6 linked regions of the Rattus norvegicus genome follow. The protein of the gene in region 3 interacts with the protein of the main gene of each other region in a biochemical or structural test. Links are inferred from orthologs where the notes say so. Each region holds a gene or a part of one and is shown on either strand. Other genes may lie near its edges. The genes, in order: Lpl, Thbs1, Lrp1, Plat, Apbb1 and Apoe.

Region 1 (5,080 bases), on a different chromosome or scaffold from region 3:
TCATGACCAAGTGTGACCGCCACACCCACCTGCCCACCACTTGTCCCCTGGAGAGCAGCCAGCAATCTGCTCTTTCTACCAGGCTGAATTCCATGTTAGTTCTTCTTGGAAATCTCTGCACCTTACTGGTCAAGCAAAGTGACGATATAGGCCAGTATCAATCGGGTTCACATGTAGCAGCAACAAGCCATAGATATGTATGTATCTCCCTAGGATTGTTTAACCGGAGAGTCATTTTTAAAATGCATTGTATCAGATGTCCATCTGACCCTTTATTAATCCCATAAAATATTAGAGTTCTCTGAAAGTTACAGGTAGCAGTGCAGGTCGGTTTGGAATCCGACTAAATGACTTTTATGTTTGAAACAAGGCTGTGTGGCTACACTGGATAAAACACTTAAGTATTTCTGCACTCCTGGTTTTATGTCTTTTATGCCACTGTCACGTTTTAAAATCAGACAGAGCTTCCTATATACGTCTCTTGGAGGTCGGCCACATCCTAACTATACGCCCTGGAGAATCTCTGCCATTTCCAAAGTCGTTCAGTGGGGCTTTGCTCTTGCCAGCTTTCAAGGTTGGCCACATGCTTCGGAGCCAGTAATGAATGTGAACGATGCCCTGTTTAAGGATCACAAATGCAAGTTGAGAAGGTGAGACATCGGGCTGGAATTCATCTACAGAACAGCATGTGTGGCTTTTATCTGATAGTTGTGAGAAATTTAAAAGGTGGGCTTATATTAAACTATATAGTTTTTGATCCCCTTAACCTGTGTGTGTGTGTGTGTGTGTGTGTGTGTGTGTGTGTGTGTGAAGAGGAGACCATATTAAAAATACTGAGATCAGTAAAGAGAACTGATTTTTTGAGACGGCTTCTCAGCATTAAGGTGGGGAATTTAATCTTTATGGTTTTCTCTAGCTAATCAACACCTTCTTCATTTAAAAAGATACTTGCAGATGAGCACAGTATACGATGTGATTTTATTTTTCTTGCTTTTCTACAAACATGTGCTAATCCACTTTGCAAAAGCTCAGTCTCAACCCTGGCAGAGCACAATTTAATATTAAAGCATCTACACAGTCATACAATGACAAGCCTAGTGGAATTCGGGATATTTCCATCAAGATCCTCACCCTGCCCCCACACTCCCAGCGCCCCATATCCCCCTCACCCTGGAACATCGCTAATCTATGTACTGTCTTTGTAAGTTTGGATTGGTAATTTGGCATGCCTTCTCCCACTGAAAGTCCAGGATAGTTTACAATATTTGACCATGACTTTCTGCCTCTGAAAATAGATGTTATTCTTGAGTTTCTTACTGAATTAGAGGATCGAGTACAATTTACATAAGGTAAAAATTAGAATTATTAACTAATTTCCTTTCTTCTACCACAGAAGGAGATCCATATTGCCAACGATAAAAGGCAGACCGTGCAGGCACCAGGCGCTGAGCAATATGTGTCCTAAGGTCCCTTTGGCCCGTGGGGACCTGTATGTGTGTGTGTGGCGGGGGTACGTTTGAAAGGATCTTTCAAGTTTAACAAAGATTTATCAAAAGGGAGGGGGTGAAAGTGTTGGACACACGCGCTGTTTAAGAGCAAAACTTCTTCCCCTCAGAAAACTGATCGTAGACTACTTAACATAAATCAGCGTAAACCCCTCCTCCCGGCCTCTACAGGGGTCCCTGGGGAGCAGGTTCCTCTGGATAGGCAAACTGGAGCCTAAACGACAAGCAAGCTTTCCCTCCTGCCCTTTCCCCTTCTTCTCGCTGGCACCGTTGAGCCTCGTTACAGTGTGCTCAAATATTTGGAAGTGAATTTAGAGTCCTCCCCCCAACTTATGATTTTATAGCCAATAGGTGATGAGGCTTATTTGCATATTTCCAGTCACTTAAACAGCTGTGCAGTGGAAACGGTGTCAGACTCGATTCCTCCTCCTCCAAGAAATTCTGCCCCTTGTAGCTGTTCTGCCCTCCCCTTTAAAGGTTGACTTGCCCCGCGGCGCTCCACCGCGCTCTAGTCCTCTGACGCCTCCGGCTCAACCCTTTGCAACGCGGATCCCCGCCCGCCTGACTGCCCGCGCAGCGCAGTTCCAGCAGCAAAGCAGAAGGGCGCGCCCGGAGATGGAGAGCAAAGCCCTGCTCCTGGTGGCCCTGGGAGTTTGGCTCCAGAGTTTGACCGCCTTCCGCGGAGGGGTGGCCGCAGCAGACGGTATGTTTTTCGCGCCAGCTCCCCTCCACCTGCAGACCGGGACCAGACCACTTTTTCTCCATCTGAAGATGGGAGGGAGAAAGTTGGAAAGGACGTGCACTAAGCAGGCGCAATAGCCAAAGAGATTCCCGGGAAGGGTGGCTGGAGTGGAATCCAGGAGGAGGAAGGAGAGACTCTGCCTCCCATCACGCTGTGGCGACTCCGGGTTCCCGCTTCTTCTTCTTCTTTCTTTCTTTCTTTATTTTTTTCATTCTCCCGATTTCCCGCTCCGTCCCCAGCTCTCTCCCGCCGCCGGCCATCACAGGGAACGGCGGGGGCGGGGGTGTGACGCGTGGGATGGGGGTGGGGGCGCAGAGGTGGAGAGAAGCTGTAGTGATCGGTGGTAACCTCCTCATAGGCAGTGGGGCTGCTGAATGCAAGGCATGTGGGCCAAGGTGACCCTAACTTTGCTGGGACTACGGGTCAGACCCCTCTGTAGGCGGGAAGAGTGAACCGAGTGTGCCCCCATCGCGGGTGCGGGTGGGAGGACGCGTTGTGTGCATTCCAACTGCATAGGGCACTGTCGCTCTCGGCTATGGGCTACTGTGAGAGTGGGAATGCGCGGCGGTGCCGGGGAACGCATGGCACGGAGTCCTGGGAAACCGCGTCCTGTAAGCGTTCCTTGCGCTCGCTCGGCTTAGCTTGGTATTCAGGAAAGCCCAGCAAAGAGCCTATCTTCCAGAAAACGAGGCTCAGCCATCAGCAGACTGGAACCTGTGGCTTGGAGGTTGCCAGTTCAGCACTGTGTCCTATCCTTGCTGTCCTAGGAGAGGCTCGCCCTAGCTGAGAGCACATGGGATTTTCTAGAGCAGTTAGCAGTTAGCAGTTAGGAGGTCGCTTTCACCATTATGGTCCCAAAATCGGTCATCTCCACGGCTCTGCCTGCTCTCTGCCTAGAGAAGACGACTAGGGTCGGTAGCAAGTTACTTTATGGCCTTGAAGTCCAGACCTGCCCACAATTGAGAAGCCTTGTTACTTGAACCTTGATTGAGCTAACAGAACACAGACACAAAAAAATGACTGAACTCAGCCATAAAAGGAGGCTGGAGTTTCCTTGTGTTGCTGCTGGTGGACTCGCCACCAGGGTGGTGTCCCCTGGAGGTGCTCTAAGGTGGCACGTCCGCAGCCTAATTCCAGTTTTAGTGGAGTCTATGAGTGCAGCTGAAAGCTAGCTTTTATTTCTGCGTATAGTTGTAAATGTCTTGTTATCAAAGGCGAGAGAATCGGTCATGGCAGAACTGCACTAAAGTAAGAATCTCGGGTGTTTTGAGGACACTGGGGATTCTGTCTCTGCTGTGGCAAGCTATCTTTCTACATAGTTTGCAACTCTGGTTAAGAAAATAGGAGCAAACGCTCAATTCATATTTCAGAAACTACACCACAGTATAACACGACTTTTACCGTAAACTCCCGTGGAAAAGGTCGTCTCCATTTTCAGGTTTTGCTTCCTTCAGAAGCTCTGGACCCAGCTTTTCAGCTGCTTAGTGTCACCCTTCTGGGTTTAGCCGCATGAGCTCTTAGGAAAGTTGGCAAGACTCAAAGTGCCCTGGGGCCCCTCCCTTATAGTTTGGTTTAAAGGGACACCTAAGTAATTACATAATAATCTTGGATTTTAGCCAACACCTGATTTTCCTATCAATAAAATGTATTGGAGGAATATTATTCCTAAGCAGATGTGGAATGATTTCCTCTTATCGACGTTCTGTTCTCTCTACTAGCACTTTCCTTCTTCTACAACAGCAGGCCAAGCCCTTTGTCCCACAAATGAATTCACCTAGGGTGAGACTGTGAAAGGCACAGCTTGGAGTGAACCCAGCTCCCCTCTAGGCTCCCAGTTTCCTTGTTCACTCTTGATGTTTTTCTTTTTTTTCCACGAAGAGTGTATGAGTTTGGGAGACATTGCCCTGGGCTTCTTCCTGGAGCCCCTGCAGCCTTTCCTGGCCCCAGGCAGGAAAGCAGAGAGCTAAGAGAGGGAGCATAGAGGGTCCGGCTGCATGAAGTCCTGTTCAGCCACAGTGCTCACTTGCAGGCTAATATCAGAGTTAAATACCTGGAAAAGAGCTCGACATGGGAGTGATTGATTAATAACGGCATTGAAAGGTGTGGGGGACAAGCGGGGGAAGAATCTCGGTGGAAAGATGTTCCGTGTGTTTGACAGAGTGTATTTTTAACACAGCTTCCCTTTAGCCCACAGCGTTATAGAGCGGGCTGTTATACTCAGCTGACAGCTTCTGTCTGTCAGATGGTCCAGTCCGGTCATTGTCCCCTTTCCTCTGGGCACAGCCTGTTTCCACATTGTCATCACCAAGGCTGCATTGTGATGTGTGTGTGTGTGTGTGTGTGTGTGTTATCTGAGACGGTAGCTGAGTTCCTCTGAGTCTTCAGACACTCGGTGCTCCTTCCCTGATGGCGTTCATCCCGTCTTCAGTGTCACCTGTTACTTCAGTGCTGCTACTTTTCTGACAGCAGAACAGTCCCCTCTATCTAACCCCACCCTCTCTGTGGTGATTTGACTAAGCCTAATTTCATCTCTGTGACTATTTTCCATATCAGGATATTTTTCTTTTCTTTGTTCTACATTACATTTGAGCTGTCTTTTTGGATATGTAGGAATAAAGGTTACACAGTAAAGGAAACTCATTACTGTCTGATTTACCTACATAAACACATCACCCCAGTGTGTGATGAGGGCCCGCCTGGGTGGTAGCAGTTGTAAGGGTATTATTTCTATACAGAATTGAAGCCTTTGAAAGGATACGCCTCTGCTCCTCTCCTTCCTTCTGATCTCCCTCACTTCCTTGGTCCTCTCTTCCTTTTCCTTCTTCCCTCCCTC
Region 2 (4,340 bases), on a different chromosome or scaffold from region 3:
GGGGAACAGAGTTGGCGCCCACTCTGTCATCACAAATGAAATGTCTTTTACAACCCATAACCTGAAGGGTGGGCGGGTGAGATAAGCTGTGGAAGCCTTGAATGACTGTTGAATATTTTATACCTCATTTCTTAGCAGCTACCAACGTCCTTCTCACCCTTGACAACAACGTGGTGAACGGTTCCAGCCCTGCCATCCGCACCAACTACATCGGCCACAAAACAAAGGACCTCCAAGCCATCTGTGGCCTCTCCTGTGACGAACTATCCAGCATGGTCCTGGAACTGAGGGGCCTGCGTACCATCGTGACCACGCTACAGGACAGCATTCGAAAAGTGGTCAGTGGCCTCTGCTCCCATTTGCCGGCTCCTGAAGGTCACCACAGGTGACCATGGGAGTCTGGACGCTCATGAGCGTTTTCCCTTTCAGACGGAAGAGAACAGAGAGCTGGCTAGCGAGCTGAGGCGGCCTCCCCTCTGCTTCCACAATGGAGTCCAATACAGGAACAACGAGGAGTGGACTGTAGATAGTTGCACAGAGTGTCACTGCCAGGTAAGGGACACTCACAGACTACAATAAGACTTGACACCATATGTCTCAGTAGATATTTTTAAATGTGCTCTGGCCTGCTACCAAAAATGATTTTTTTCTTTCATATGTAATGACGTCTACACATTCCTCTTTAAATCTCAGAAGGTTTATCAACTTGTAATTATACCCCAGGCTAAGCAGCTAAGAGAGCAAATCTATCTAACCACTGGAATTATTTACCTGCTTTAGTTCAAAGACCAAGTATTGGATGTCAGATACACAAAACCTGCTTACAGCATTCTTTTTTGAACAGCCCTAATTTGTATTCGGCTCTGGCAGGCAGATCCTTCTAACACTGTTCGGATCTCTGCATCACCAGGAAAAGTTTAAATGCAAATCCCTGATTACTGAATTTAAGACACAACTTCCATTAAGTTCCTATTTTCCTCCAATATGTGATAAGACCTTATCTACATTTGAGATACTCACTGATATGGCCTGCAGCCTGTTGCTTTTCCTTATATCTGTAACTTCCACCCCTGACTGAGTAGCAGTTAAAAAGAACTTTCCCAGAGAATGGAGAATTAGCCCTGGAACTATGTGACTCTAGGGACTATAGATCCAGCAGACATCTGTCCTATAAAAACCATCCTGCCTATACCTCAGCTTATAATGGAAATGCCACAGAAAGCTCCTCTTAGCAATATGCTTGGTAACATGTTTCCCTCTCCTCCTGCCTTGCAGAACTCAGTTACCATCTGCAAAAAGGTGTCCTGTCCCATCATGCCCTGCTCCAATGCCACAGTTCCTGATGGTGAATGCTGCCCACGGTGCTGGCGTAAGTTCCTAAAATGGTAGAACCATACCTCAGTGGCTAGCTCAGTGGGGGCATCCTGACAGCTGGGCACAACACTGGAGCCCAGCCCCTCGCAGGTCGTTCAGGCATATCCTGTCAGATAATTGCAGACAGACTTGGGTAACTATCAGCTTGTCTATTGTACAGAGTGCAAACCTCCATGAGGACCAGATCTTAACCACCCATCTGGATTGTAGCATAGGCAGTGGATGATCTTGGCAGAGCTCATGGACTCTGGTTTTATGCTATAAGGAGGGGAGATGAATACAGCACTGGACTTAAGCTGGTTGCTTTCAGGAATTGATCTTTTTGTTAGAAAAAACATGATCTACTGGAGAAGGGACAGAAACTGGTGTAAGCATTGGGCTGTTTGAAAAGTCACCTGTTTTGTGTGCAGTGATAGGAGCCCTAAGAGATTTGTATCTATTGAATTTCCAGGGTAGTAAAGGAAATCAGCCACTACACTGCTGTGTAACGCTCTGCCTCCAGGGCTTGTTGCCAGCATAAGCACTTTGCTAAGATGTTTTAATACAGAAGGCACAAGTCATAAAAGTGACTCATCATGCCTCACGAAGAAAGCAAGGATGTTGAATTGCCCTTCAGAGAGAGAGAGAGAGAGAGAGAGAGAGGGAGGGAGGGAGGGAGGGAGGGAGGGAGGGAGAGAGAGAGAGAGAGAGAGAGAGAGAGAGAGAGAGAGAGAGGACAGAGACAGAGAAATAGAGAGACGCACATATGAGCCACACACAGCTCAGAGTTATCAATCCCATGGTAGCAATTTTGGCACAGTAATGTTTTTCTGTGTGTCCACTTCTGTCCAGCCTCTATCTGAGGGTGAGTTACAGGGAGCAAAGCCCACGGAGAATAGCACAACTCTGAGCTGGGGTTGTTAGGAAGATGTTTATTGATGGAAAAAACAAGTTCCCTGTCGTCTGATAGACAGGAGTGGTTGTCATCATGGTGTCTGAGCAGATAGCAAACAAATACCCTCTCCTCTTGAGAAAGTACAAAAACACCAGAGGTCAGCATGAGGAAAACAAACTGATCCACCTCACGGCCTCAGCCACACTGCCTCCCAACATAGACCAGGGCTTCTCTGATAGTCAGAAATGATACAGGCCAGCTGTCTGACACACTGGCATTCTTGGACACTGGCCTGGAAGCATCTAAGACATCCTCAGTCAGCAAAGGAGAATCTGCTTAAGACGCACATGGGAGACTCCATGATGGGTGAACAGGAGAGTCCACACTGTAAGCGGGTTCAGCTGTAAGGACCAGGCAGAGCCTGCCATCACCCCCAGACCTTTACGATGACCTGGGATGAACTCATGGCCCACTGGCCCAAGACTGGCATGTCTGGAGTTAATGATATGACTGCATGCTTGCTCCTGCAAAATAAGGGATGTGTGAATTGGCTCCACTATTGTTTTCACTTCCCAAGGCACTTGTGTAGCCAAGCATCTGCTGTGTACTAAAATATACACAGTCACTATTAGTTAATGGTCCTTCCATTAAACTGGGAGTATGGAAAAAGAAGGATTTTTTTTTTTTTGGTTCTTTTTTTCGGAGCTGGGGACCGAACCCAGGAAGAAGGATTTTTTAAAAAGAGACCTATTAGGTTGGGGATTTAGCTCAGTGGTAGAGCACTTGCCTAGCAAGTGCAAGGCCCTGGGTTCGGTCCCCAGCTCCGAAAAAAAAAAGTCCTATTGATTTGCAACCTTTGCCAATAAAGGTCCCTAAACACATACATAAACTGCCTGAAGAGAAGTGGATCTTAGTCAGGAGATGCTGAATGGCCTCCTTTCTCCCCACAGCCAGTGACTCTGCTGACGATGGCTGGTCTCCCTGGTCTGAGTGGACCTCTTGCTCTGCCACCTGTGGCAATGGGATTCAGCAACGTGGTCGCTCCTGTGACAGCCTCAACAACAGATGTGAGGGCTCTTCAGTACAGACGAGGACCTGCCACATTCAGGAGTGCGACAAAAGATGTAAGCATCATGGCCGCCAAGGGGTGGCAATGTCACCCCAATGCTTTGTCACCAAGAGCAGCTCTACAGCAGAGAGCCTGAGGGCCCAGGTTCTGAGCTCTCAGTCTCAACCACACCCCTGACCTCTGCACTCTTGAGCACAACCTTCCTTCCCAGATGCTCCTCCTCATCGATAACATGAGAATAATAACCATTCTTGATAAAAGTTATTTTAGGCATTTCCTCAAGATAATTCATATGAAACAATTAGAATAGAGCTGGGCTCCTGACCAGCAACTCTCTCTTACACACACACACACACACACACACACACACACACACACACACACACACACACCATTTTTCCTATGATAGTTTCTCCGTTGACATGTGGCAATAGCCAGTTGCTACTATACACTGTATACTATACACTAGTTTAAGTTGCTGTTGGTCAGCTGTGAGAACGATTGCGTGTTGAGATTTTCTTCGTGGTCCCCCTCCAAGGCAGCACCATTTGTGACCGTCAGCTTTGCCTTTCAGTTAAACAGGATGGTGGTTGGAGTCACTGGTCCCCGTGGTCGTCCTGTTCTGTGACCTGTGGTGACGGTGTGATCACGAGGATCCGACTCTGCAACTCCCCCAGCCCCCAGATGAACGGGAAGCCCTGTGAAGGTGAAGCTCGGGAGACCAAAGCCTGCAAGAAGGACGCCTGCCCAAGTAAGTGTGGGCCTGCCCTGTGGGTTCATGGGAGGCAGCCCTACCCAGCTGGTGGCCTGCTTGCTCTGCGGTTCAGTGGACCATGGGGCATGGGAGCTCACTCACTAGAGAAACAAACAGAAACAAAGTCCTGCGTACTCAGCAGCTTCTATTAATGAAAAACAGAAAGCAAACCATTTCAGCCTCCCTAATTTCCAAAGATTCTCCCCATGGGCCAGGTTAGAAGGCATTTGTAACAGGCTCCAGACAGGCTTCTGGGACAGATAAGGCAC
Region 3 (4,340 bases):
ACCTGCCCTCTCCTCCATCCACCCTGTGCCCCTGGGTCTGAGGAGATGGTGCAGGACAGGGTCTGAGCCCTCCTCTTCCTTTCTGGGAGGGAGGGAGCCCATCCCCCACTGCCCTCCACAAGAGCACATCTGGTTTGTGAATCTCTCATTTCAGCTTTTGGAGTTTGCCAGCTGCTGTTTCCTCTGTCGAATTCAGGCCAAAAATGGGGGTGGGGGACAGTGGGGGAACCATGTGAGAGCCAGAGGAGGGGACCCACGGCTGGGGCTCAGAAGACAGAGGAGGTCAGAGTGTCCAGCCAGTGACCTCAGGCCCTGGCTGTGGGTTCTGCCCCTGGCGAGTGGGGGGGCATGGGCTCAGCCCCCAGGTGGGAAGGGGAAGATGTGTCATCAGCCTGGGTGTCTCAGGGGTCCGATTCTGAGCTCCAAACACCCCATCTGTCTCTGAGAGCTGCTGCAGTCCCTCTCTCCCCCTCAGGCCGCCTGGCTGGCCAGGGGAAGTGGTGGTCTCCAGCATGCTAACTAGGCTGGCGGGCTGTTTCCCGGGAAGACCTCACAGCTGGCCCAGTGGGGCAATGAACTCAGCATTATCCACCTCCTCAAGGGGCCTTTATTCCCGGATCAGGGCAGGGGGGAGAAGGGAGGGAGGGGGGACTCCAAGGGGGCCTGGCCAGGCCATCCTTGATGTGTTTCCTGAACTCAGCTCTGGTTCTGGCCAGGGGCCTGGGTACAGTCCCCTCCGCCAGAGCTGGGGATGAGGGAGAGAGGACATTTCGTGTGGCCATCCAACTTCCTCCTTCAGAGCCCTGACACAGTTCTCTTACTCTCCTGTCTCAGCCCTCCGTTAGTACTATGTAGTTTCCCCCAGGAACTGTGGGTCCCGAGGGGTCCATGACCTTTGGACACATCTTGGTTCCTAGTTCAGTGCCTGGCACAGAGCTGGCCTTCAGTATGTGTCAGAGAAACAGAAATGGGCGCTACCGGGTGGGAGAAAAGGTGATGAGAAACCAGGAGAGGAGACTCCTGCCCTGATGTGGATGAAAGACCCCTGTCCCGTGCAGGACATGGTGACTGGAACAGATGGGTTAGGGGTATGGCTGCCAGGTGAGGGCTGTACTCCTTAAAGACCTAGAGCCCTGGTGCCAAAGAGATGGCTCAGTGGTTAAGACTCACTGCTTGCTTTTCCAGAGTACCTGAGTTCAATTCCCACCATTTCAAAGGCATCTTGCACCTTTTCTAAATCTACTTCCAGGGGACCCAGTGCTTCTGTGCCCTCCTCAGACACCAGGCAAATGTGCTACACAGACAGCCATGCAGGCAAAACACCCATACACATAAAATAAAACTTGAAAAAGAAAAAAGGAAACAAAGCAACAACAATAGAAACCTAGATTTGGGTGAACTGGGTTGAGTCCTGGTTTGTCACTTGCCAGGTGTGTGATCCTCAGCAGGTCTAGCCCAGAAACTGTGGGTTAGCCTTCCCTCTTCTCATCTTGTGGGAAAGACTAAATAAGACAGCACATGGAAAAAGCTAGTTTATCACTGTCTGCTACACTCATGCTGATCACAGTACTGCCCGCTGTCTCTGGTGGAGCTCCTCATGAGGGTAGGAGGGGGGATGAGAGGGATTAGAGCCAGGTGGTTCCCATGGATATAAATCACTCCACAGGTGAGGGGTACCACAGTTAGTTTCTAGAGATCAAGCCAACCAGCACCCTGCCTCTGCTGGTAATGAGCTTTAGGTCCTTCTTATCCAGAGAACTCCCCTAAAAGTCCTACTTGTGGTCTTGTGTCTTGTGGAAGCTGAAGTTTCTGCCCAGGTGTCCTCTGCAGATAACATCTCCAAGCCACACTGTGGGCCAAGGGGTCCAGCGGTAAGAGGTAGGAGCTGGGTGATATAGATCAAGAGGTCAGTAGCATCCTGAGGTCAGAGGTTAAGAAAGGCCAGCTGGACGGGATTAAGAAGAGACAGAGAAAGAGCACAGTGAAGGTCTCTGCCCTGTCCCACCATCATCCCTAGCAGAGTGAGGGGTGCTGGTGTCTGGTGGGGTGACAAACAGCAAGGAGCTACAGGGGCCTGCTGAACAGACAACCTAGGAAACTTGGAAAGGGATGATAAGGTCCTTTTGGCTCCTCCATTGTTCCAGGTCCACAGTATGGAGGATTGATGCTGGAGGAGAACGAGCCTTAGGAAGCTCCAGGGTCCAAGAGAGAGTTCCCTCCTTTACAGTTACCCTTTCTTTCCTTGCCTTCAGCCCCTAAAACTTGCAGCCCTAAGCAGTTTGCCTGCAGAGACCAAATCACCTGTATCTCGAAGGGCTGGCGGTGTGACGGGGAAAGAGATTGTCCGGACGGCTCTGATGAAGCCCCCGAGATCTGTGAGTATCTTCCCTGGCTGCTCTCTCCAGATGAGAGCAGCCGTCTCTAGCCTAGCATGGGGCTTGCTCTGTACTTGTACCTAGGACACAGCTAAAAGTATCCCTGCTTCTTCAGAGTACCCACACAGTCCCTGGCATGCGTAACAGCAGCACCCTGGATTTCTCCTTTGGCTCCCATGTCCCCAAGGCTGTTGGGGACAGTATCCTCTGGGATGCACCTTTGTCATGAGGAGATAACTGAGCCACACTTTTCTTTGAGCATTTTCTTCTTCCCCACTTTGAAACTTCTCTGGCTGGTGCTCAATGAGTGGCCTTCAGGTCTTGCCAGGTACCCTGCTACCCTTAGTCCCAGGCCAAAGGCCATTGGCCTTACTCAGTCCCTGTACCAGAAGCCCCACCCCTGTACCCTTCCTGACACCCTGCCCTCGCCTGCCCCCAATAAGTGGTGTAATCAGAGGCAGCTGTTTAAACTGGGAGAAAGGTCCCCACCCAGCCTTCACCCTGCCAGTGGCCAGGATGGGGAGGGGTTTATGGGGTGGAGGACTTGCTGCCAGGACTCTAGAGTACTGGGGTCTCCACCCCCAGTATCTTCCATACATGGCCAATCCTGGCCAAGGTCTTAGCATGCTCTGGACTTCATCTGGCTCTGGTCCTATCTGTACCCTTTCCCCATACTTCCAACCATGGTCATCAAAGGTTGAAGGTGAAGGGTGGAAATGAAGCCACCTGTTTTCTTCCTCACCCCTGCATCCTGCCTGGAGGAGTAGACACTACTTCCTCTCCACGTGTTTGACCCTTGCCTGTGTGGCGGAAGGACAGAAAGCCACAGAGAAGGGCTGGGTCACACTCTTGTTCATCCTTCTTTCAGTTTGATACAAATCCCATCTCAGATAGTTCCCCACATGTGTGTTCACACACATGCGTTCTCCTGGAGCATAGCAGATAACACATAGCCCCACCTGGCCCACCCACCAGACAAAGACGCCGACAGGTTTGTATAACCCATGCAGATGCTATACACTCCCAGGAGTGGCTGCAGAAACACTCTGACAGATGCCTGAACACACAGACTGGCAGGGGTACATATAAATCCAGGCAGGGTCACAAGATGTTATGGGAACTTCTTGCCCACGAGCCACTCCCTGCACGAGCAGTGCCTGTCAGGCTCTGCCCCCATACACACCCTCTCATATACCCTTACCTGTTGGGATCATTGTCTTAACCTCTCATCCCTCCAGCCAGCAACCGTGACAATTAAGAGGGATGTGGTTAGTAGGCCACAGCTTTTGACATCTCCAGATCCTTTCGTTAGATCTTTGCTCTGGGTTGCAAGTCTAGAATAATACTGTATTGAAATAAGGTATAAGTCACATACACAGTTCTGAAATTTCCAAGTAGCCACGCTGGGGGGAAAAAAAAAAAGCAAACTGCTAAGGTTAGTTTGAATGCTTTCACCGAAGGCGCTCAAAATATTGTTTTCACTATATGAATATTCTGTGGATGAAACTATTAGAGATCTTTTGCCCTCTTCTGATGGATCAAAAAACTAGTATATATTTATAAGTGGTTTTAATTTGGTGCACTCACAGCGTTGGAGAGCTGCAGAAGGCTGGTGCTGGTGCATGAACTGGCTCTCTTGTAGACACAGCTCTGCGCTCTGAAACCCACACAAAGTTAGTGTGTTATTGTTTATCATTGGAGCTCCTTTCTGCCAGGGACTGTGTTTCCTTAAACCCAGCAAAACCTTTCACTTCTGCCTTCTGCCTGTCTCCTGATTAGAGAATGTTGAGGCTGGGGGCTCCATTAGGGAGTAGGCCCTAGCCTAACACCTCTTGAGATCTAGAATGTGCCGCTATCTGAAATGCCAATCTTGGTTTATTAAACCTACCCACCCATTACAGAGACACCTAGACAGCCACCCCAGGCAGCCTGGTCATGCTGTCACTTCTGTTTGCTCCCAGGTCC
Region 4 (4,956 bases), on a different chromosome or scaffold from region 3:
GACCCTTGAACTCTCAACTTGGACCCCCCAATAGCCACTTACAGGTCTGGGTGGTCTCAGTGCCTCTCTGAGCCTTAGTTTCCTGGGCTTCCCCATGAATTAATCCCTTCCATCTTGTGTATTTTTTTGAAAGCTAAAGAAGCAATCCTTACAAACCCTGGAAGCCTGACGGGTGGCAGGTGTGCACTAGGCTTCACAAGAATGCCCTCGTCAACAGGAATCAAGTTTGTTTGAAGCTACTGATAAAGAAGAGGTACCACGCTCTCTGGGGTGGGGGTGGGGTCCTCATGGTCTTCAAGGGTTATTGGCAAATCCTTTTTCCTAGCTCACAGGACATGATAGAAAATGCCATGCTCTTCACCAGGGTCAGAGAGCCCCATGGACAGGAGCACTTATTTCCTGAGAGCAGAGTGAGATCTTGTATCCCATTTTTAATCTGTTTCTCAGGGGCTGGAGAGATGGCTCAGAGGTTAAGAGCACTGTCTGCTCTTCCAGAGGTCCTGAGTTCAATTCCCAGCAACCACCTGGTGGCTCACATAACCATCTGTAATCGGGTCTGGTGCCCTCTTCTGGCCTGCAGACATACATGCAGGCAGAAAGCTGTATGATGTATACATAGTAAATAAATAAATGTTAAAAAAAAATCTTTTTAAAAAAAGTTTTAATCTGTTTCTCTTCTTTGCCTTTTCCAGGCCAATTTATGCCCCACAACAGGGCCTCTGAAACGCTCTGGGAATTTGGAATTAGCAGTTGACACATTTAGCCACTTCCATGGTCCTTAAGGTTGACGCTAACAAGATATTTGCTTCCACAGAATAGGCTTTCAGTAGAAAAGTCTACAATGTGTGGGACCAGCCTAAGTCTGCAGTGATCATTTCAGAGGCTCAGCATGGACCCAGGTCTTTAGGGCAATCCCCAAAGAAAACTCTAGAGACCTCTCTCTGCTGTGCGTCTGGAGCACCCAACAGCCAGTCTATATAGCTCAGCTAGACCTGTCAGTTACAGGATGTTGGCCAACGGCTTGGCAAGCGCCTCTGAAGACACCCAGTTCTTTATGTATTGCATGAAGAACAGCTGGTTTGTGTTTCCTGGACAGCTGACACAGCTCTCCTGGGCTGTGCCTTCAAACACGCCAGAGAAATTTGTGATACATGACCAGCAATCTGCTTCATTTGCTTTTTCCAGTAACCAGGAATCGAGTTTATCTCACCTTGTACTCCTAGCTATAACAGTTTGTCTCCCAGGCATCGTGAAAGCAGTTGGGCCAATATTCAAGATGATGGTGCTCGACCAAGGTTTTGTGAATCTCTACCTGTAATTTTCTCCTTCCCTCCCTCCCTCCCTCCCTTCTTCCCTCCTTTCTAAAACAAGATCTCACTTACCCCAGGCTAGCCTTGAGTTTCTGATCTCCTTGCCCGCATCTCCTGAGCACTGGGGATCACAGGTGTTCACTGTCAACCCTAAGTTTATGTGGTGCTGGGAATCAGGTGGAAAGGCTCTCTGCGAGCTCCTTTAACACTGCCAACTAAGCTGCAACCCCAATTCCAGCTCTGACCTATTTATTACACGGCAGGCTCAAAGCTGCCCTTTGCTCCCTCGTTTAGTTGTTTCCTACATTATTTTCTGCCACTCAAGAGAAAAGAAAAGAAACAAAAAAAACTATTCTGAGACAATAGACACTCAGTTGCCGTGCACAGATTGCACTACTTCAGCTCAGACCGCAAAAGGCTCCCACTCACAGAGACCGGCTGTCTCAGGGACCGGCGAACCTTACATTGTGAATGGCGTTAAGCCCAGTACTGTTGTTGATAAGCCGTGTTGATGTAGCCTCCACCATTAAGACTGGAAACAAGCACATACACATGCGTTTCACCTTCAAACCCTCACACCAGTCTTTCCAGTCCAAGAACCCTGCAGGCAACTCTGAGTCACTTTCTGGCCTTGGCTGAGCACCCTGCTCAGTGAGCGTCTTAATGTGTGCAGCTCGCTCTTCCTTCAGTCCCCAGCGCCTTAGCGGAAGCATGGATGCTCCTCGGTTCCTCCTGGCTGCATCGTGCATCCTGGATCTGGGAGGAGGCAGACCAGCTGCTGTATATCTCACAGGAGACTTCCCAAATAATCTGGGCTGTCCTGGAAAGTCTGCCCTAATCCAGCTCGTCTGGGGGTGTGCAGCTAGTACTCCCCTTCCAAGATACAGGCTGGCTCTCCTGAAAACACTTTAGGTGGAAAGAACAGGGTGGGCAGAGGGACGATTTACACTTTAGTGTTTCCAGTATCTGGTCTGGGACTGACTGTGATTTAACTCTCACTGGCTGTGCGCACTCAGCCTGCCACTGCCCTGCACAGGGTCTGGGTCTCCTGGAAAATTTCTAAGTGTGTTTTTCTGTAAGTTTACTCCAGTTGTATTTGTGACGTGCTCACAGGATTGAAAATACCCACCACCACCACACACTCACTTTTTGTGTATGCCCCTGCCCCATTATCAGCTGCGGAAGAACAATGCATCGTTCCAAACCGGCCACCAAGTAAAGCTTCCCCACTGCATCTCTTTGCACTGAAGCTTGCCCTTAGTTATCTGCGAGCGCTGCATGCTTTCCTTCCACCCCCACCCCCACCACTCACCCAGCCTCCATCTATCCTCCCGCTGTCTCCGAGGTTAAGAAAATAAAGGTCCTGACAGACTCCAGAGAGCCCTTAGACTTTTCCTGCTGCAGCATGAGAAAGCAAACGCAGCCGTGTGTGATGAGCGAGGGGTGAAATTGACTGGTAAATCGTAGAGAGGATGCGATGAACTCGCGAGACACCAGAGGTTTTGCATCCTAACCCCCAGCAGTAACGAGAGGTTCCTAAAAGTTTCAGCTTTTCTCTGCCAGCCTAGCGAAACATGCTGCCCACGCAAACGCCCCTCCTTGATACCCAGCCTGTTTTTTAGTGTGTCCCTTGAGGTCAGAAGGTAGCCATACGATGTCTCCGCTCTGGAAGGCAGCTGGATCTAGTTACTGCCCGTTAGTAGGCTCCCATTGTCCGTTCGAAGAACCGGAGTCGTTCTTTTTACTTTCTCCCCTTACTGTGCAAGCAGAACTTCTGCAAGAGACACCTCTCTCCCACTCTCTCCCTCTCACCGCAGCTTACCCGGAGTCATTGCAAAGAACTGTCCCTTCTGTGTGGATGATGCTGGCTGGTCCGCTTTCTGCTGAACTACAAGTCTGCGCTTCCATTAAGCATTCCCTCACTGCCTCAGTTTGGCCCCGAAGACTTTAAAGGGACAGAAGAAGAGCCGGCTGTTCGATAAAGGCAAAAACCCAACTTACCGTGCCTTGCTTGCTTCTTTCCCACTCTCGCAGGGGCTTCTCCTGATTAGCTCCCCCGCAGGCTCTGTCTCCCTGGACAGCTCAAGCCAATTTTAAGGGTGAAGGAGGGGTGGGGCCAGAGGTTCTTGTGGGCGGGGTTTCTCCTATGATGGTGGGTGCCGGGTGGACCGGGCCAGGGGAGGAAGTGCGCGCGGAGGAGCACAGCCACTCTTGGCTTGACGCCAGCTTGATTATTCACCGTACTGACGTCATCGAATCACAGGAATTTTCAGAGTTGGAGGGGACTTAAGAATCATCCAGTTTTAAAATCCTGGTCTCAAAGGCCTAAAAGGAACTGTAAGGATGTGCGGCTCTAAGCTCCAGTCTTGACCATGAGGTTATAGTTCTAAACAGCCCCGCCCAACTAGGCTAGGGAGGGGAGAGGTCTTCTGGAATTTTAAGCGACTACCCCTCAGGACACGTGGGCCTTAGGCCAAGAGGCAGAAGATGAGCTGGTTGGGAGTGACTGGAGACAGTAAGCACATGACCACCAGGCTATGGTTCTCTTCCTACCTCTGACCTGCCCTCCTGGGCTGAGGAGCTACTCTTCTCAGTGGGAGAGCTCTCAGGGAATTGAGAAAAAGCACAACACCGCGCAAGTCTTTCAGCCCCCTGAAATTCCATCACAAGCCATCCTTTCTCTAAGCTTCCTCACGTCAAGGGTGGACAAGGAAAGCTCCTGAAAACTGCCCTTCTAGTGGCCCACATCCTGTCACAACCTACGGAAGCCTCCACAGCCCCCGGGACACCAGGTCGCTCCAAATCCCAGTTTAGTCTTCCTCTGCAGATGTCTGCACATCAAAGGGGCTGAACTAGTGCTCTGTCTCAGCAATTACAGGCACCCTGAGCGTTGCTAAATGCACACAAAACCTGTCATCCTCAGAAACCCCAGCTTTTTCATTTTTTTGCCACCTGTGAGTCTGTTTCCCCCGTCAGACTCTGGCGGAGCCTGGAAAGCCAGAAATACACATGGGAAGCAGATACCATAACAATGGGAACTTTGATTTTAGTCAAAGGATTGCCATGGGGGCGAGCAAATGAAAATAAATCTCGGTGACATCACATCCTGGGAAACTTGACTAGAAGCCCTTTGCTCCCAAGAGTGATAAATTCCAAGTCTGATAACTTGGGGACAGAAGGGTAAGAAAAAGGAGTGTGGGGGCTGGGGATTTAGCTCAGTGGTAGAGCGCTTACCTAGGAAGCACAAGGCCCTGGGTTCGGTCCCCAGCTCCGGAAAAAAAAAAACCAAAAAAAAAAAAAAAAAAAAAAAAAAGGAGTGTGGAAGAAAGAGTCCCTAAGGCTAGCTTCTGCAATGGGGGAGTCCTCTCTGTAGAGTGTGTCACCTGTGGCAGTAGAGAGGGGGTTTAGTGAACCCTTTGTTGGGGCAGTGGACAGCTGATGAGGCACAGGACAAAGACCAGGATGAGTTCAAAAACCTAATAAGAAGTGATGTGATTCCAAGGATAGCCCAAGGAAAGAGAGGTGGGCAAGAAGCTGGCAAAGACGTCCTTAACCAGGAGACAGGTGTGCTGTGTACAGACCAAGAGTCCCTCCTTTTAAAGGGAAACTGAGCTTTTAAGGACAAACACGGTAAACATTCAGATGG
Region 5 (4,340 bases), on a different chromosome or scaffold from region 3:
TAATCCGGAACAAGGATGGAATGCTGTAGCCCTAGGAGAGGAGGGGTATATACCACAGATACAGAGTCTATGTGTGTGCATGGTATATATGAGTGAGTGAGTGAGTGTGTGTGTGTGTGTGTGTGTGTGTGTGTGTGTGTGTGTGTATGTGTGTGTGTGCGCGCGCGCGCGCACGCGCGCTATCTGCACAGACATAGCAGAGGTTGATAATACATTGTATCTGAGTGTTTCCCCACCTGTATGTGCATGTGGTACTCACATGTATGTTGGGAGGTTTTGGTAATGCTGTATGTACACACCTGTTAGCAGGGCTGGCATCTATAGCTATATATAAACACATAGCTCTACACAAGTGTATAACTGGTGTTGTTATGTCTGTTTGCCCCTGAACTCACAAGCATACCTGTATGTGGTGCCTTCCAGAATTTTCTGTGCGCTGTGCACAGTTTATGGCTGTGCAGGTGTGTGGTGGGGCTTACATATATTGTGGGTCTGTGTGCATGTGGATGTGTGCAGAAGCCGGCAGTGTGTGCACCTTTTATAACTAGACAAAATGTCTATGCATGATGTGTGAGGAGGTGATCTGGGTCATTCGGCCTCCTTCTTTCCTCCTCCTTCCTCTCCGCTTTCTTCTTTCTCTCCATGTGGCCACATTAGGCAGCAGCAGGGCTAGCAGCAGAGGAGACCTGAGCCATGCTCCCCACTGGTGGCTCTCAATGTGGTGACTAAAGTGTCCGGCTCTAGAAGCAAGCAGGAATTATAATGTCCCTTTCCCAGCTTCTTCTTCTCAGCCTTGGGGTCTTGGGAAGGGGACTGGCCCTCTACTGGATGATTATTGGGTAGGCTGACCCTCACTGAGCCTCCTACCTGGCAGATTCCTTCTGGAACCCCAACGCTTTCGAGACGGATTCCGATCTACCGGCTGGATGGATGAGGGTCCAAGACACCTCAGGGACCTACTACTGGCACATCCCAACAGGGACCACCCAGTGGGAACCCCCAGGCCGGGCCTCCCCATCGCAGGGGAACAGTCCCCAAGAAGAGTCCCAGGTAAGGCTCAATGGCTTGTTGCACACCAGGGGTGGAAGGGTCTGTGCTTCTAGAACAGGGTGAAACTACCACCCTACACCCATTCTTCCTCCAGCTCACCTGGACTGGCTTTGCTCACCAAGAAGGCTTTGAGGAAGGAGAGTTTTGGAAGGTAAATAAAGAAACCAGCTTCACTCTGGGGGCTACTGGAGAGGGGGACTTCATTTTGGGCTTGATTCTTTAATTTGTTTTCAAAGGATGAACCTAGTGAAGAGGCCCCAATGGAGTTGGGACTGAAGGACCCTGAGGAGGGGACATTGCCCTTCTCAGCTCAGAGCCTCAGGTGAGTCAGATGCAGCAGACTAGGGTGAGACTGGATCTATGTGGAAGGGGTATTGGGAGGATTCTTAAAACTAAGGGTGCTGTGTCAAGTGTTCCCATCTGCCTCCAGCCCAGAGCCAGTGCCCCAGGAGGAGGAGAATCTGCCCCAACGGAACGCCAATCCAGGGATCAAGGTTTGTTCAAGACCAACACCCATTTAGTAAGCAGGCCTCTATGTGGAGGACAGACCTCATGCTGTGCTTTGAGGACATCTGTGGTCTTAGCAAATCTCCCAAGCAAGTTCTTACCAGTTTCAGGCAAGGCCGTGTGTATGCTGAACAGTCTTCTGACAGCTTCTGTGTTTAACTCAGTTGGCCCAAGGGCCTCTTAGGGACTCTTAAGGCTTAGATCAGCAGGCCATCTCTTCTGACCATGTCTTGTTTGGGGACCTTCCATCTAAGTTCAGAATGTCTCACATGTTTTATGTGCCAGGTCAGGAGCTCCTCTGTCCTGTGCCCAAGGCACCTCCAATTCCATCTCAGATCTCTACCCCGACCCTTTTCTGTGTCTGGCAGTGTTTCGCTGTGCGCTCCCTAGGCTGGGTAGAGATGACTGAGGAGGAGCTGGCCCCAGGACGCAGCAGTGTGGCAGTCAACAATTGTATCCGCCAGCTCTCCTACCACAAAAACAATCTACATGATCCGATGTCTGGAGGCTGGGGAGAGGTGAGGGCCTGAGCTGGTGAAGTGGTGGTACCGTGGGGGTGTGCAGCGAATTGTGAGATACGAAGGATTTGACTAGTCTCCGAGAGGGCTGATGGACATGGGGGTATATATGGGTTTAAGGAGCAACTCTGAGGGATGGATGTGTAACTCCAGCCTTGCACCCTGAGGAGTGGTTGCTTAACAGTGATGGGGATAAGAGTCCTGGGACAACCTTTGTTAGACTAAGGCCCACAGGTGGGCAGTCTGACAGCTAAGTAAGCCCTGCTCCTCCCCAATGGTGGCCAATGTCCCCTTTGCTGGAGAAGGCAGAACTCTGCCCCCCTCCCCCACTAGGGTACCACTGAGTCCCACCTCCTGGGTTTGCAGGGAAAGGATCTGCTGCTCCAGCTGGAGGATGAGACGCTAAAGTTGGTGGAGCCACAGAACCAGACACTGCTGCATGCCCAGCCCATCGTCAGCATTCGCGTGTGGGGCGTTGGGCGGGACAGTGGAAGGTGGGCACAGGAATCGCCGGGGTGGGGGAGGCTCATCCATCCAGCAGTTAGTCCTTTTTCTAATCTGCTCTTTGGCTCTCTTGTGCTGCCGGACCCAGAGAGAGGTATTAACGTCCATCTGCTTTGACTGTGCCCCTTCCTACTCCTGGACCGGATGCTTCGAAGCACCTAGGCTCCCTTACTGTGTGCCCTGCCCCTTCCTCACCTGCTGTCCTGGGCCTTATCCCCCACCTCAGCATGCTTGCCTCTGGCCTCCCCAGCTCCTGAAGGCAGACCTACGGAACACCAGGGCAAACCCTGTAGACTGTCATGGACAGGGAGGTTGAGGGTGGAATGGTGGCCAGGCATGGCATTTGGTGGTTCTAGGAGACACTGAGGTGACCCTCCCCCAACAGGGACTTTGCCTACGTAGCTCGAGATAAGCTGACCCAGATGCTCAAGTGCCACGTGTTTCGCTGTGAGGCACCTGCCAAGAACATCGCCACCAGCCTGCATGAGATCTGCTCCAAGGCACGGCCCCCTCCACTCCCTGAACTAGCTGTCATCTTTGCTCTAGAAGGGTGTGGGTAGGGTTGCCGGTTGGTGGGTAGTGAGGTGGGGGCTTCGGGGCCAATGTAGCTCTAACAGAGCACACACACCCCCCATTCATTCCTCAGATCATGTCTGAACGGCGCAATGCTCGCTGCTTGGTAAATGGACTCTCCCTGGACCACTCTAAACTTGTGGATGTCCCTTTCCAAGGTGAGTACCACACGCAGCCTCATAAGGCACAGCTCAGCTTTGTTAGTTAAGGTGAGGTGACCCAAGAAGAGGCACAGGATCCTGGGCAGGCATGAGCACATGGAGATGGGTGCTTGACAGTACATAAGTGGATAAGCTTGTAGAGGGAGGCAGGGGAGAAGTGGGCGTGAGGGTTGGACTAGGAAAATGCATAGTTCATGCTTTAGTGTCAGGACCTAGAACAGTGACCCTCTTTTTCTTTTTCTTCTCACAGTGGAATTCCCAGCACCAAAGAATGAACTGGTGCAGAAGTTTCAAGTCTATTACCTAGGGAACGTGCCTGTGGCTAAACCCGTTGGTATGTGTCCTCTTCCCTCAGGGGCCACCCCCTTGGTCCTGGTACTCTGTGCCCCGCCCTGTGTTTTCTATGGTTCATTCTCCTGGATTTTCTCGTTACGTGGCATCTCCTTGCCTTTCAGAGTTCATCCCACCTACCTTTGTGCCAGCCTTGTCTTGTGTCCTGCCTGTTACTCCAGTGAGCATGTTTCAGTGAACATCTAGCACAGGACTAGTGCTGAGCTAGACACGGAGGGTGACTTTCTTCCCCTAGCCCTGATCCCATGGAAGAGCTTTGCTGGGTTTAGGAGGCAGGTGTTTGGATGGCTGGAAATACCAGGCATTAGCCTGGCGCTGGGTTCAGTACAGGAGCCATACATATCCAGAGAAGGAAGCCGTAAGCATAATTAACATAGCTTTAATTTTATAAAAATATAGAGTTTTTTAAAATATACTATTTAATTTCACAGCACCCGCCTTCCTTCCTTCCTTTCTTTCTTTCTTTTTTTCTCTCTCTCTCTCTCTTTCTTTCTTCCTTCCTTTCTTCCTTCCTTCCTTCCTTTCTTTCTTTCTTTCTTTCTTTCTTTCTTTCTTTCTTTCTTTCTTTCTTTCTTTCTTTCTTTAACAATTACCTTTGAAACCTGTTGTGTCAGGCCCTGTATTGGGAAACAATGGCCACAGCCTGGTTTTCATGGAGTTTATGGGAACTTACAGT
Region 6 (5,077 bases), on a different chromosome or scaffold from region 3:
TGAGGGGGGAGGAAGGGGCCCTAGGACCTTCCCAGACTAAAACAGGAAACGTGAAGGTTTTGGGGATTTTTTTTTTTTTTTTTTGGTTCTTTTAATTTTGTTGAAGATATAACTCCAGCCCTCACGTATCAGGCAGGTGCTGGGTCACTAAAGTGCTTTTCCGTGGAGCTGCATTCCAGCCCCAGCTCTGATGTGTGTGTGGTCACATCTTCAAATTGGGCCTGCATGCCACCACTGCTCCTCCTGGCACCCCACTGGAGGAGAAGACTCAAGATGAACTGGTCAATGACCCTCTAGACCGCAACACTGAAACCCTTTTTACTGCCATCTGGAGATGGAAGCTGGCCCTTAGTAACCCATGAAAATCATCTCACCACACCCACTCCTTGTCAGTGTTTTAAGCCAAAACTAACAGGCCTGGGCCCGGCACCCTGTACCCTTGGAACCAGGTGTTCCACCTCTTCCCATCCTGCGGAGTCATGTGTTGCCATATCTGCTGCCAAGCCTTGTTAGGAGGCTTCTCCTACTGCCACCCTCTGAGCAACAGCTGGGAATGGGAACCCCTGTGCAGGCGGCACTTCAGCAAGCATCCGAGTGGTGTGTGAGCCCTTGGCCCTACCTGACAGCCCGGTAACAGCAGCCTTGCCATGTGCTAGCCTGGGCTCTGTTCTATTACCTGAGCTCAGGGGATCCTCCTGCCTCAGCTCTGCAAGTGACTAGGACTAGAGGCACATGTCCCCATAAATAGCTGTTCTTCTGGCTTGTCTCTTAAGTGTGTTGGGTGTTTTGCCGGCATGTATGTCCCTGTAGGGCTGTCAAATCTGGGTGTTGAGTTGCGAATGCTGTGATTTAAATCTGGGTCCTGTGGAAATGCAGTCAGTGCTCTTAACCTCTGAGCCATCTCTCCAGCCCCTACACTTCTTTCATGAAGAAAAGGAAAAGTGCTTGGAAAAGGCAAATGCATGTGCCGAGGGGCACACCTGCAACCCCAGCATGCCACAGCAGAGGCAAAAGGACCTTTGTGACTTTAAGGGCAGCCCGAGGATCCGATCGCAAAACAACTTGAAAGTTGTGCTCAGTAGGGGTGGGGATAGCTCCCCCTCCCAAGATTATACATCCGGCAACCGCCAGAAACAGGACAGTAGCATCAACACTTGGGTTCCCAGGGCTTGACAATGTATGGCTTCAAATCCATTGGGAGCCACCACTGAACAGCTCCTGAAGGAAAGGAGCATGTCCCCAGCCCGGGGATGGGGAGAGTTCACCCGTGGCAGAGGAATCAACAAAGAGGGGCCAGGGCTAAAACTCAGTTTTCATCCCAGAAGCTGAGCCTCTTAACAGATAGAGCCCCCCACCTATTTCCATTTAAGCCTCCAGCCCTTTTCCGTACAACGAATGCACCAGACCCCGCGGGAAAGGGGAGAAGCAGTACTCAGTGCCCCAGCACCAAGGCCTGGATTATTCAATGAGGAGTCAGCTCCTTTTTGGGGGGGGGGGGGGGTCACAAGGCATCAAAACTCCACCTCTTTCCTCTGCCCTGCTGTGAAGGGGGGGGGGGAGAGCAACCCGCCTCGTGACAGGGGGTTGGCCCAGCCCGCCCTAGCCCTGAGGAGGGGGCGGGGCAGGGGGAGTCCTATAATTGGACAGGTCTGGGATCCGGTCCCCTGCTCAGACCCCGGAGGCTAAGGAGTTGTTTCGGAAGGAGCTGGTAAGACAAGCTTGGGCTGGCGATTCACCCAGGGGGCTTGGTAAGACGTGGGCAGGGGACCTTGAAATCCGCTGGAGTCCAGGAAACAGGCACAATTATTAGAAAAGCAGGAAGCCCGATAGAAGACTTAGGGTGGCGGGGAGACAAACTAAGATCGTGAGGTAACTAGCCTTTGCCGGGGTCAGAACAGATGGAGGAGATGGAGGGGTCATCTCCAGGAGTATGGGACTGTCGGTGCACTGCATACGGGCTCAACTAGAAGGTAGTATCAATCTTTAGCGAAAGGACCCGCGATGAGCCTTAGGTTGCGTTTATATAAATACCTACTGATTTCCATCACAGTCCCCAAAATTACCCTGGGCCAGTTTCAAAGCGAAGATCCTCATGCCTGAGCGTCCGAAGTTCTGGGGTCGCGGGAGGGTACCACTTCGCAGGGATGGAGGACGATTAAAAACTTACATTAGTACTAAACCGAGAGCCCGGCTTAGCAGGGAAGGTAGAAAGGAATGTAAATTGGACCACCGGCTGTCCCTCTGCGTTGTGGAATTTGAACCCTAGGACTGGGAGCTGGAATTTTTGGCAGCGGGTCCACCCCGGGGTGCTGAGATAGAGATAGGAGGGGGAGGTAAATAGACCTTTGGGCAGATGCTCTATTGTGGAGATGTTTGTGATGACTCACAGACCTGAGAAGGGAATTAAGGTGGGGGCTCTTTGGGTGGCCCGAGTTTCTCCACCCCTACCCACTGGTGTTCAAAGACAGCTTTTCCTTCCGCAGACTGGCCAATCACAACTGGGAAGATGAAGGCTCTGTGGGCCCTGCTGTTGGTCCCATTGCTGACAGGTATGGGGCAAGGGGTGGCTTTCCCTGCTGGCAGGTTGGGGTTGGGGCAGTTCTGAGACCTCTGAGATTCAATAGCCCTGAGCAGCTGTTTTACATGCAGGCCTTGTCTTTCCCTATCCATAATATGAGAGGATTGATGCTCAGAGGGTAAAGGTGCTTGTCATAAAGCTCGAAGACTTATCTCGGAGCCCAACATGGTGGAAGGAGAGAGCGGATTCTCTCTAGTTGTCCTCTGACCTCCAAGGGTACACACACAGACACACAATTAAAAAGTTGAAGTGTGTAATTTCTTAGTCGCTTTTAAAGGGGAGGTATACATTTTCTAACCCCATACCAGCCTAGTCTCAGCTCTGTTCTACATAGGATACTAGACAGTGTATGCTTGTAGTATCTAAACAGACTCCACGACTGACTTCCAGACGCACTGTTGCTTCAAAGAGACCCAAGAGCACTGTAGGTCCTGACCCAGCCTTAAACTTACTACTCTACACAGGATGCCTGGCCGAGGGAGAGCTGGAGGTGACAGATCAGCTCCCAGGGCAAAGCGACCAACCCTGGGAGCAGGCCCTGAACCGCTTCTGGGATTACCTGCGCTGGGTGCAGACGCTTTCTGACCAGGTCCAGGAAGAGCTGCAGAGCTCCCAAGTCACACAGGAACTGACGTGAGTGCTCAGCGCTTCACCCTCCGCACCTGCTGAGTATCCAGATCCAGGGGTTCCTCCTATCTGGGCACCTACCTACTTGTTTCCTTTCTCCATGAGTGTGTGGGCCAGGTTGGCCTTGAACTCTCAATACTTCTGCTTTCTTTAGCCTTCTGGATACTGGGATGAACAGGCATTCATTTATGTTCTTGGTCGAATGGCTTTTGGCTTTTTGAGACAGGATCCCAATCTAACTTAAGCTGGCTTCGAAGGCTCTGCAATTCTCCTTCCTCAGCTTCTCAACTTCTGGGAATACAAGCGAGTACCACCGCACCTCGCTCTGTGGTTTCCTCCCACCCTAATTCTGACCTTTTTGTCTCTGCATTCATCTCCCTCTTGTGTTTCCTCTGGGCCTGCAGGGTACTGATGGAGGACACTATGACGGAAGTAAAGGCATACAAAAAGGAGCTGGAGGAACAGCTGGGCCCAGTGGCGGAGGAGACACGGGCCAGGCTGGCTAAAGAGGTGCAGGCGGCACAGGCCCGTCTGGGAGCTGACATGGAGGATCTACGCAACCGACTCGGGCAGTACCGCAACGAGGTAAACACCATGCTGGGCCAGAGCACAGAGGAGCTGCGGTCGCGCCTCTCCACACACCTGCGCAAGATGCGCAAGCGCCTGATGCGGGATGCGGATGATCTGCAGAAGCGCCTGGCGGTGTACAAGGCCGGGGCACAGGAGGGCGCCGAGCGCGGTGTGAGTGCTATCCGTGAGCGCCTGGGGCCACTGGTGGAGCAGGGTCGTCAGCGCACAGCCAACCTAGGCGCTGGCGCCGCCCAGCCCCTGCGCGATCGCGCCCAGGCTTTGAGTGACCGCATCCGAGGGCGGCTGGAGGAAGTGGGCAACCAGGCCCGAGACCGCCTAGAGGAGGTGCGTGAGCAGATGGAGGAGGTGCGCTCCAAGATGGAGGAGCAGACCCAGCAGATACGCCTGCAGGCCGAGATCTTCCAGGCCCGCATCAAGGGCTGGTTCGAGCCGCTAGTGGAAGACATGCAGCGCCAGTGGGCAAACCTAATGGAGAAGATACAGGCCTCTGTGGCTACCAACTCCATTGCCTCCACCACAGTGCCCCTGGAGAATCAATGATCATCCCTCACCTACGCCCTGCCGCAACATCCATGACCAGCCAGGTGGCCCTGTCCCAAGCACCACTCTGGCCCTCTGGTGGCCCTTGCTTAATAAAGATTCTCCAAGCACGTTCTGAGTCTCTGTGAGTGATTCCACACAGCTTCAGCCTCAGTTTATCGTTTCTGCCTGACATAGCACACATTCCATGGCCATGTCTGTAGAAGGAGGTCATGTGCTTTATTTCAAGTCTAGTTTGGTCTGCTCTGCTTTGGTTTTGCAGTAATAGAGATAAAACCTAGGAGCTAGCAACGCCAAAGGACAAGTGCTCTACCTCTGAGCCCCGCCCGCAACCCTTCACCGGGCGATTCTACCTTCCACTGAGCCACGCCCCCAGTCCTTCACTGGGGGGATTCTAGGGAGGGGCTCTACCACTGAACCACGCCTCTAGATCTCACTGGGGGGATTCTAGTAGGGGTTCTATCACCGAGCCACGCCCGCACCCATCACTTGGGGATTGTATCTAGCACTGAGCCACACCTCCAACCTCTCAATGGGGAATTCTACCATGAGCCACGCCCCCAGCCCCCTCGATGGGGGAATTCGAGTCCAGCGCCTACCACTGAGCCACGCCCACACCCTTGGGGCGGGGTGGGGGGAGGGCGATTCTAGGCAGGGGCTCTTACGTTTAGGTATATCCACGCTTTTTAGTCTGAAATAGCATCTTAACTGATTCCTCGTTGCATTCACTCCAGCCTAGTT

The links.
Region 1: the proteins of Lrp1 (region 3) and Lpl form a complex in vitro, tested with the Homo sapiens proteins (3 studies listed by BioGRID). The link is inferred for Rattus norvegicus from reciprocal best matches to the Homo sapiens genes LRP1 and LPL.
Region 2: the proteins of Lrp1 (region 3) and Thbs1 form a complex in vitro, tested with the Homo sapiens proteins (3 studies listed by BioGRID). The link is inferred for Rattus norvegicus from reciprocal best matches to the Homo sapiens genes LRP1 and THBS1.
Region 4: the proteins of Lrp1 (region 3) and Plat form a complex in vitro, tested with the Homo sapiens proteins (2 studies listed by BioGRID). The link is inferred for Rattus norvegicus from reciprocal best matches to the Homo sapiens genes LRP1 and PLAT.
Region 5: the proteins of Lrp1 (region 3) and Apbb1 form a complex in vitro, tested with the Homo sapiens proteins (2 studies listed by BioGRID and IntAct, with this or other methods). The link is inferred for Rattus norvegicus from reciprocal best matches to the Homo sapiens genes LRP1 and APBB1.
Region 6: the proteins of Lrp1 (region 3) and Apoe form a complex in vitro, tested with the Homo sapiens proteins (2 studies listed by IntAct, with this or other methods). The link is inferred for Rattus norvegicus from reciprocal best matches to the Homo sapiens genes LRP1 and APOE.

What each region holds. Positions count from the first base shown.
Region 1 is NC_086034.1:25,617,453-25,622,532, reverse strand, and holds the start of Lpl (lipoprotein lipase precursor), read left to right. Parts: upstream 1-1,931; 5' UTR 1,932-2,120; coding exon 2,121-2,208; intron 2,209-5,080. UniProt on the Homo sapiens protein: Key enzyme in triglyceride metabolism.
Region 2 is NC_086021.1:125,512,841-125,517,180, forward strand, and holds part of Thbs1 (thrombospondin-1 isoform 2 precursor), read left to right. Parts: intron 1-135; coding exon 136-338; intron 339-429; coding exon 430-552; intron 553-1,275; coding exon 1,276-1,369; intron 1,370-3,198; coding exon 3,199-3,372; intron 3,373-3,891; coding exon 3,892-4,068; intron 4,069-4,340. UniProt on the Homo sapiens protein: Adhesive glycoprotein that mediates cell-to-cell and cell-to-matrix interactions.
Region 3 is NC_086025.1:65,335,828-65,340,167, reverse strand, and holds part of Lrp1 (prolow-density lipoprotein receptor-related protein 1 precursor), read left to right. Parts: intron 1-1,519; exon of another isoform or gene 1,520-2,252; coding exon 2,253-2,375; exon of another isoform or gene 2,376-4,032; intron 4,033-4,336; coding exon 4,337-4,340. UniProt on the Homo sapiens protein: Endocytic receptor involved in endocytosis and in phagocytosis of apoptotic cells. Required for early embryonic development. Involved in cellular lipid homeostasis.
Region 4 is NC_086034.1:75,964,280-75,969,235, forward strand, and holds the start of Plat (tissue-type plasminogen activator precursor), read right to left. Parts: upstream 3,378-4,956; 5' UTR 3,312-3,377; intron 3,235-3,311; exon of another isoform or gene 3,219-3,234; coding exon of another isoform or gene 3,133-3,218; intron 1-3,132. UniProt on the Homo sapiens protein: Converts the abundant, but inactive, zymogen plasminogen to plasmin by hydrolyzing a single Arg-Val bond in plasminogen.
Region 5 is NC_086019.1:169,314,812-169,319,151, reverse strand, and holds part of Apbb1 (amyloid beta precursor protein binding family B member 1), read left to right. Parts: intron 1-874; coding exon 875-1,050; intron 1,051-1,144; coding exon 1,145-1,201; intron 1,202-1,286; coding exon 1,287-1,372; intron 1,373-1,480; coding exon 1,481-1,544; intron 1,545-1,925; coding exon 1,926-2,075; intron 2,076-2,441; coding exon 2,442-2,569; intron 2,570-2,667; coding exon 2,668-2,673; intron 2,674-2,964; coding exon 2,965-3,079; intron 3,080-3,225; coding exon 3,226-3,310; intron 3,311-3,563; coding exon 3,564-3,647; intron 3,648-4,340. UniProt on the Homo sapiens protein: Transcription coregulator that can have both coactivator and corepressor functions. Adapter protein that forms a transcriptionally active complex with the gamma-secretase-derived amyloid precursor protein (APP) intracellular domain.
Region 6 is NC_086019.1:88,481,258-88,486,334, reverse strand, and holds Apoe (apolipoprotein E precursor), read left to right. Parts: upstream 1-1,635; 5' UTR 1,636-1,708; exon of another isoform or gene 1,709-1,748; intron 1,749-1,814; exon of another isoform or gene 1,815-1,869; intron 1,870-2,464; exon of another isoform or gene 2,465-2,483; 5' UTR 2,484-2,506; coding exon 2,507-2,549; intron 2,550-3,042; coding exon 3,043-3,211; intron 3,212-3,609; coding exon 3,610-4,336; 3' UTR 4,337-4,446; downstream 4,447-5,077. UniProt on the Homo sapiens protein: APOE is an apolipoprotein, a protein associating with lipid particles, that mainly functions in lipoprotein-mediated lipid transport between organs via the plasma and interstitial fluids.